Linked DNA regions of Oryctolagus cuniculus. The protein of the gene in region 1 binds, or shares a complex with, the protein of each later gene. Links are inferred from orthologs where the notes say so. Each region holds a gene or a part of one and is shown on either strand. Other genes may lie near its edges.

What was found.
Region 2: the proteins of AP2A2 (region 1) and EPS15 are in contact, whole or in part, in a crystal structure (PDB 1KYU), measured with the Mus musculus proteins. The link is inferred for Oryctolagus cuniculus from reciprocal best matches to the Homo sapiens genes AP2A2 and EPS15. Residues at the interface, in XP_006536218.1 of Mus musculus: Phe442, Phe443, Trp446, Lys447, Asp487, Pro488, Val494, Arg511; in NP_031969.1 of Mus musculus: Asp629, Pro630, Phe631, Lys632.

What each region holds. Positions count from the first base shown.
Region 1 is NC_091432.1:490,689-494,498, forward strand, and holds the end of AP2A2 (AP-2 complex subunit alpha-2), read left to right. Parts: intron 1-923; coding exon 924-1,013; intron 1,014-1,683; coding exon 1,684-1,807; intron 1,808-2,302; coding exon 2,303-2,419; intron 2,420-2,543; coding exon 2,544-2,613; intron 2,614-2,702; coding exon 2,703-2,837; intron 2,838-3,259; coding exon 3,260-3,337; 3' UTR 3,338-3,628; downstream 3,629-3,810. UniProt on the Homo sapiens protein: Component of the adaptor protein complex 2 (AP-2). Adaptor protein complexes function in protein transport via transport vesicles in different membrane traffic pathways.
Region 2 is NC_091438.1:121,548,668-121,552,477, forward strand, and holds part of EPS15 (epidermal growth factor receptor substrate 15), read left to right. Parts: intron 1-1,141; coding exon 1,142-1,345; intron 1,346-3,810. UniProt on the Homo sapiens protein: Involved in cell growth regulation. May be involved in the regulation of mitogenic signals and control of cell proliferation. Involved in the internalization of ligand-inducible receptors of the receptor tyrosine kinase (RTK) type, in particular EGFR.

The DNA.
Region 1 (3,810 bases):
TCTGGAGCTGCTGTGGAGGTGGGGCCCCGGGAGCCGGGTGTGGGGCGCTGCACCGAGCAGCTCCCCCCTCTCACGGGAGGCAGCTAGGGTCCGTTTACCCCTGGTTTCTTGTGGGTCCTTGTGACCGTGTGTGGTTTTTGCTTGTTTTTACAGTGTAACAAAGTGCTTGTCCTTTTTGAACGTTTCCTTTCCCTTTCTGAATTCGAAGGCCAGAAAAATGCCTGTAAAGATGGGTGTAAAGGTTTTATTCTGATGTAAACATTTTTTTAAAAACATTTATGTATTTGTTTGAAAGGCAGAGTGACACGGAGAGACAGACAGAGAGAGAGAGCGTCCATCCACTGATTCACTCCTGGCCTGGGCTCGGCCAGGCTGAAGCCAGGAGCCTGGAGCTCCCTCCGGGTCCCCCGCGTGGGTGCAGGGGCTCAGTTCTTGGGCTTCCTCCACTGCTTTCCCAGGCGCAGTAGCAGGGAGCTGGATCAGAAGTGGTGCTCAGATAGGATGCCGGCGCCACAGTTGGTGGCTTTACCTGCTGTGCCACGTGCCGGCCCGTGGTGTAAGTGGGCGCCTGTGTGGTCCTTTGCACCCACAGGAAGGACCGCAGCCACGGCCCAGCAGAGGAGAGGCGACCTCTGTGTCCGGCCCTGCTGGATGTTTTTGTTCGCGCGGAGAGGGAGAGGGAGTGGGAGATGGGCAGTTTCTATCCCACGCCTGCAGCAGTTGGGCTGGGCCATGGCGGGAGCCAGGGGGTGACGGAGCCCCCCCTCCCCCCGGGGGGGGTGCAGGCACCCAGCTGCTGGAGCCGCCGCCTCCCGGGGTCTGCCGCAGCAGGAGGCTGGAGCCCGGCGCTGTCTTCAGTGCTGGGCCGGGCGCACGGCTGTCACAGGCGACGGCGCTGACCGTGCACTCGTCTCTGCTTCCAGGTCGGATGTTCATCTTCTACGGCAACAAGACCTCCACCCAGTTCCTCAGTTTTACTCCAACACTAATCTGCTCAGACAGCCTGCAGTCTGATATCCTTGGCTCCGCGCCCCCGCCCCCGCCCCCAGACAGGGCTGGGACAGAGGCTTCTGGGGGAAGTTGTAACTTCTTCTTCTGTTTTTAAATTAAAGTAGCCAGACATTTCCAGGTGCTAGAGAAACCTCAGGAGATCTCTTCCGTGTCAAAGCTAGCATTTGGTCAGATGCACCTAAGGACCCTGCTCCCTGCCGTCTGGCTGCCCAGAGACACGTGTGTCCTCTGCCGTCTGGCTGCCCTCAGGCATGCGTGTCCTCTGCCATCTGGCTGCCCAGAGACACGCGTGTCCTCTGCCGTCTGGCTGCCCAGAGACACGCGTGTCCTCTGCCGTCTGGTTGCCCAGAGACACGCGTGTCCTCTGCCGTCTGGCTGCCCAGAGACACGCGTGTCCTCTGCTGTCTGGCTGCCCAGAGACACGCGTGTCCTCTGCCGTCTGGCTGCCCAGAGACACGCGTGTGGGACCGGGGCACGTTCTTGCAGCTGCTGCTGCGTGGGTGATGGCAGCGGGGCCACGGGCCACTCGCTCCCCTCTGGCCGCTCTCACGAGTGTGTGTGCACACCACAGCCGCGGGCACGCAGTGAAGACGCCGGCACAGCCCAAGTGCCGTGTGGAAGGTGGGGGCAGCCGGGCCCCCGGCTCCTCTCTGCAGTCCTTAACGCTCACACAGCTGAACCTGCAGACCAAGCCCGTGGACCCGACGGTGGACGGGGGCGCCCAGGTGCAGCAGGTGGTCAACATCGAGTGTGTGTCTGACTTCACAGAGGCGCCGGTGCTCAACATCCAGTTCAGGTGAGGGCTGGCGGCCGCGCGGGCAGCTCGTGGGCCTGGCAGGGCCGTGCTCGTGCTGAGCAGGGGGCCTCCCTGGCCGGGGTCTCACAAGTCCCCACGGTCTGCAAGCTCAGGGTCTTTGGAAACACGAAGGGGTAGGTGTGGGTGTGAGCGCTGTGGGGTTCAAGTCCAGGAAGCGGAAGCACAGTGAGCCACGCAGGGGCGCGCGGGGGGGGGTCCCTGCTCTCAGCAAAGCTCTTTGTCTCCGCCTGGAGAGAAGCCACACGCACGCCTCAGAGGATTGGGGCCTGGGCGGGGCTGCCCTGGGCCCAGCACCTGGCCTGCACCAGCCAGCCTGAGTGAGGGGGTGGACGGGGGGTGCGGCTCCCTGCGGCCCCCCGCTCAGGGACGCTCCGCGGGGCTCCTGTTGGCTGCATGGCCGGCGGCAGCTCCTGGTTGCTGAGGGCGTGCGAGGTGTGTCTGCCGGCCGCTCCCTCTCACGTCTGCTGCTCACAGGTACGGGGGCACGTTTCAGAACCTGTCCGTTAAGCTGCCCGTCACCCTCAACAAGTTTTTCCAGCCCACAGAAATGGCTTCTCAGGATTTCTTTCAGCGCTGGAAGCAGCTGAGCAAGTGAGAGGGCGGGGCTGTCCATCGGGTGGGCGGGGCCTGGGCGTGTGGGGGCAGGCGGGCAGTCCAGTGGGGAGAGGGGCCTTGTCCCTGCCACCAGGACTAGCGCCTTGGCTCTGTCCCGCAGCCCACAGCAGGAGGTGCAGAACATCTTCAAAGCCAAGCATCCCATGGACACGGAGATCACTAAAGCAAAGGTAGGCGTCGTGGGGACAGTCACGGGCAGGCACCGCCTGGGGCCCGGCGCCCGGCGCCCAGGTCCCGACCGTGCTGTTTCTTTGGACAGATCATTGGGTTTGGTTCTGCACTCCTTGAAGAAGTCGATCCTAATCCTGCCAACTTCGTGGGAGCTGGGATCATCCACACCAAAACTACCCAGATCGGATGCTTGCTTCGCTTGGAGCCGAATCTGCAGGCCCAGGTGAGGCCTCTAGGGGGAGCTGCTCTGGCGCTGGTGAGGGCCGCGGGGGCTGCTCTGTCCCAGGTGCTCCACCCTGCTGGTCCACGCCCTTTCCAGCTCCCCACAGGGCACCTTGGGGCAGGCCCGGCCCTGGGCCGGTGGAGGGGCCCTGTGATTGCCCGTGTTGCTCCCAGGTGGGCAGTGCCCACAGATGTGGCTGCTGGCTCCTGGTTGGGGGCACAGTGAACTCTGAGCGAGGCCGCACAGGGCCACACCCCATGTGCCGCGGGCGGTTGTCCTGGTCGGACATGGCGCCTTCACCTCTGCCCGTGTCTGGGGCTCTGGCTTCTGGGGCGCAGTGGCAGCCCAGGGCTGGCCGAGTGAGGAGGGCCCCTGCGGGGAGCCGCGTGCTGCCCCCGCTGACCGGCTGCGTCCTGTTTCAGATGTACCGACTCACGCTGCGGACGAGCAGAGAGGCCGTCTCCCAGAGGCTGTGTGAGTTGCTGTCGGAGCAGTTCTAGCCGGCCCGGCAGAAGGCGGCCGTGTCTCGTGCATTTCTCGTCCCTGTGCTTTGTCCTTGCTCCCTGGCCTGCGGCCACTGGACACGGGCCTCCCAGCCCTGCGCCTGCAGCCCTGTCCCCGTGGCCACGCGTGGGACGCACTGTGTGTTGTAAGAAGGAAAGCTGAGTGTGGACTACAGGGGCCTGCCCCGTCCAAGGAGAGCCCGGATCCTGGGACCAGTTTTTATAGAAATCAAGGCAGTCTGTGGCTCAGTCTGTACATTAAAGGGAAATTAGAAGTTTGAATGAAAATGGAGATGTTGTCGAAGTTTGGTTCAGAATCACCGTTCTCCAGGCCCGTGTCTGCCCTGGGGCAGCAGTGTTGGCTCCATGGAGGCCAGGCCGACCCTTTGCTGTTGGCTGCCCTGGGGGTGATGCCTGTGGGGGGGGTGCTCCCTGTCCCTTGGGGGTGGGGCACTACTGTTGGCTGTCCT
Region 2 (3,810 bases), on another chromosome or scaffold:
CCAAAGCCAGGAGCTTCATCTGGGTCTCCCATGCAGGTAACAGAGGCCCAACTCTTGGGATATCTTCTGCTGCTTTTCCCAGGCCATTAGCTGGAAGCTGGATGAGAAGTGGAGCAGCCGTGACACAAACCAGCATCCATAAAAGATGCCAGCATCATAGGCAGTGGCTTTACCCATTAAACCACAACACCAGCCCCTACATTTTGCTTTTTAAATGTAATTTGTTGAATTCTACCTTCTCTGTTCCACTGTTGTTTTAGAAGTATAAATTCACCTGGATGATGGGATCAAAATAAAACTTTGAGCAAGCTTTATTTAATGTGTATGGCGTAGCTTAGATCTTGAGAATACTTTCTAGGGCTCTAACCCACTAATAAATAGTGCCAGAGTATGAGGGCACTAGCTTAGTTTTCTTTGGTCTTCACTACCCTCATTCCCAACAGGAATGTGAGTGGTTCAAAGCTTCAAGGACTCTCTCTGAACTTCTTTACTTATCAAAGTTCCATCACAAAATTTCTTCTTTGTTATTTTGTTATGTTTTCCCTCAATACCTTGGCTCATCTTTTTCTAATTATACTCTAAAGCATTGCCAATCTGCAGATATTTTAGTCAGAATTCTTAGAAATTTCAAAAGATGTGCTAAAGCAAACCCATGTATACTGGAATTTCAAGAGGAGGACGTACTGGGAGAAGGTACTAAAGTCTTTCCTTAGGGTGGGCATTTGGCCTGGTGGTTAAGACACCTTAGTCCCATATTGGAGTGCCTGGGTATTAATACCTAGCTCCACTTCCTGCTAATACAGACCATGGGAGGCAGCACTGATGGCTGAATAATTCGTTTTCTGCTACCCATATGGGAGACTTGGATTTTGTTCCCACTACCAGCTTCAGCTCAAGTCTAGATTATTGCAAGCACTTGGAGAGTGAACCAGCAGATGGAGCTCACTCTCTGTCTCTCTCTCTTTCAAATACATCAATTTAAAGACAAAATAAAACAAAAACTTCTAAGTCATGCTGCACTCCCAGAGGATTCTCCTTAAAGGAAACATTTATCCTCAACCGAATCCAGATTGATAACTGTTTTTACGTTTCATGTCTTTCTAGTAATAAATTCTGCTGTGTTTCTACTTTGTGTTGACAGATGCAAATGAAACTAATGGAAATGAAAGATCTGGAAAATCATAATAATCAATTAAATTGGTGCAGTAGCCCACACAGCGTTCTTGTAAATGGCACTACGGATTACTGCAGCCTCAGCACCAGCAGCAGTGAAACAGCCAACCTTAATGAACACGCCGAATGCCAGAGCAACCTGGAATCTGAGCCCATACACCAGGAGTCTCCAGTGAGTAATAAGTCCACATCCTTCATATTCAGCTTCAGAGAAAAGGATTAATACAGATCCAAGTGTTGTTGGCATTGTACCTAATATGAATATGTGTCCTTGCCTCATCTGAGTACAGTTAGTTTCTTTTTAGAGGCAGAGTGGATCCTGATAGAAAAATTCTAACATTTTTAAGTAATGTAAAAATAATTTTAACTGATTTATTTTGATTAGAGCACATTTTAAAACAGTATTTCTGTACATAAAGCTTTTTAAGTTTTTAAGTACCCTTACCCAAAACTGGAGCTAATTCTTTATTTCATAATGTTAGGATATAAATAATTATTTAGTGAACTCCAGCTGTGTACAAAATTGCTTTATTGTATGTGAGAGCCACAAAGATGAAATACCTTTTGTCTTTGTTTCAAGCAGCTAACAGTAACATAGTGTTACATAGTAATATAGTGTTAAGGGGTCATGATAAAGAAAGCACAATATATTTAGCTAGCACAGGTTGAAGAGGGCTGAAGAAAAATTTTGTGGGGAAAGCTTTGCAAATGAACTTAGGCAGGTTGAAAAGGAGTTAGGCAAAGAAGAGCATGGTACATTTCTGGCAAAGAAAATAGTAGTAGTGTAGATTCAGGGTGGGAGAAGACATGCTGCACAGAACCATGAAACGTTCTCACAGATACATTATGATGGTTGGGAGAGTATTGCTAAGAGCTGAGGCTTCCTCCTCCTGGCCATCTGCATCACATCTGGTGCCTTTATCAACATACGGAAGTATGTGCCCCACCTCATATTTGCTGCAGTACAGTTTCTAGGATCAAGCCAGGCACATACATAGATTTTTTAAAAACAAATTCCATGGATGATAATGATGTATGCTTGGATAAAAATGACAACCTTCAGGTAAGAAAGGGCCAGAGGATAAGAGATCAAGATTCATCTTGATGTGTTGGGGCCTTTTGTCTAACTACAGTGAGTAGCCTTTGAATAAGTTGAAGAATGAAGTGATGTGACTAAACTTACCTGCTGGAAATGTGAAGGATAGACTGGGGAATGGGGCTATACACACAGAGCTATGTTAGGAGACTATATAGGGATAGCTTATTTCAGAGCTGTTTTGGCATCAATTTAAGCAGTAATGCAAGAAACGAGACAAAGAGAAGTTTGAGAAGTATTAAGAGTAGAAAATTTAGGCTTGATTTTTATTTAGATAGTGCTGTCATAGATACATTTTGCAATATTCTTTCAAACACAAAAGGCAGGTTACTAGGTTATCCTTTAAACACATAATGTAGTATGAAAGGGAAATTGCCCTTGCCATTTTTTCAGCTTTTTACTTTCCAACCTAAGTGAAGAAAGCAATGGGAGCCATTGAAGAAGTTTAAACTAGAAAAATCATGGTAAGATTCAGACTGAAGGTTTTATTGCTTTGGTATCTATGAGGAGGACAATTGAAAGGACACACATTGGAGGCAGGAATACAGTTGAAAGGTTACTGTAATAAGCTGAACCAGAGTATTATAAATGAATGATGGTGACAGTGAGGATGGAGAGGAAGAGTAGAGTTTGAGAAAGAGTTAAGTAGACTGAACAAGACTTGGAGTCTTATTCTAGCTGGGAGATGACTATCAGAAAAGCAAAGTTCTTCCCTCTCTTCTCACACACAACACAGTAGACTTCTGGGACAGAAAAAGCTGTGCAGATTTCTCCCCACAAGCAAGCAAATAGCAGTTCTGCAGGAGGCATCAGCTGATGTTCCCTAGTTTGATTCAGTGGTAAGCCCATGTTGGAACCCTAGATGGCTGTAAATCAGGATTCCCACAGCTTCCTCCTTCGCTTTGATTAATTTGTGTGAGCAGCACACATAATTCAGGGAAAATGTTTACCAATCCTTCATAAAAGATACCACAAAGAATACAGATAAAGACATGTCATGTATAGGGCAAGAGTGTGTGGGAAGGGGCACACAGCTTCTATGCTGTCTCCAGACATCCACCCTCGAGGAACTTCCCAGTGTTCAGCTCTTTTGAAGTTCCCAGAACCGTGTCCATTTGGGTTTTTTATGGAAGCTTCATTACATGGAAATTACATCATTGGCTATTGGTGATCAGCTGGACCTTCAGCCCCTCTCTTAGAGGTTGGAGGTTGGGACTGAGTATCTAAAACCTCTAATCCTGCTTTGGTATTCCCAGTGACCAGCCCATCCTGCAGCTTCTTGGGACTGCCTTCTGTCAGTAAATCATTAGCATACAAAAAACCATTTATCATTTCAGAGAGTCCATGGAGTTTTTAGAAGCTGTGTGCCAGGAAACGGGGACCAAAAGCAAATATATATTTCATAATGTCACAAGGGAGGTGGTTGAAGATGACCTGAAGGTTTCTGGCCTGAGGGATGTTGATACTTTGTGACAACCTTTTCCTAAGGAAGATGACAGCAGAAGAAATCATTTGATAAATATGTTCTGCTCATCTTTTTA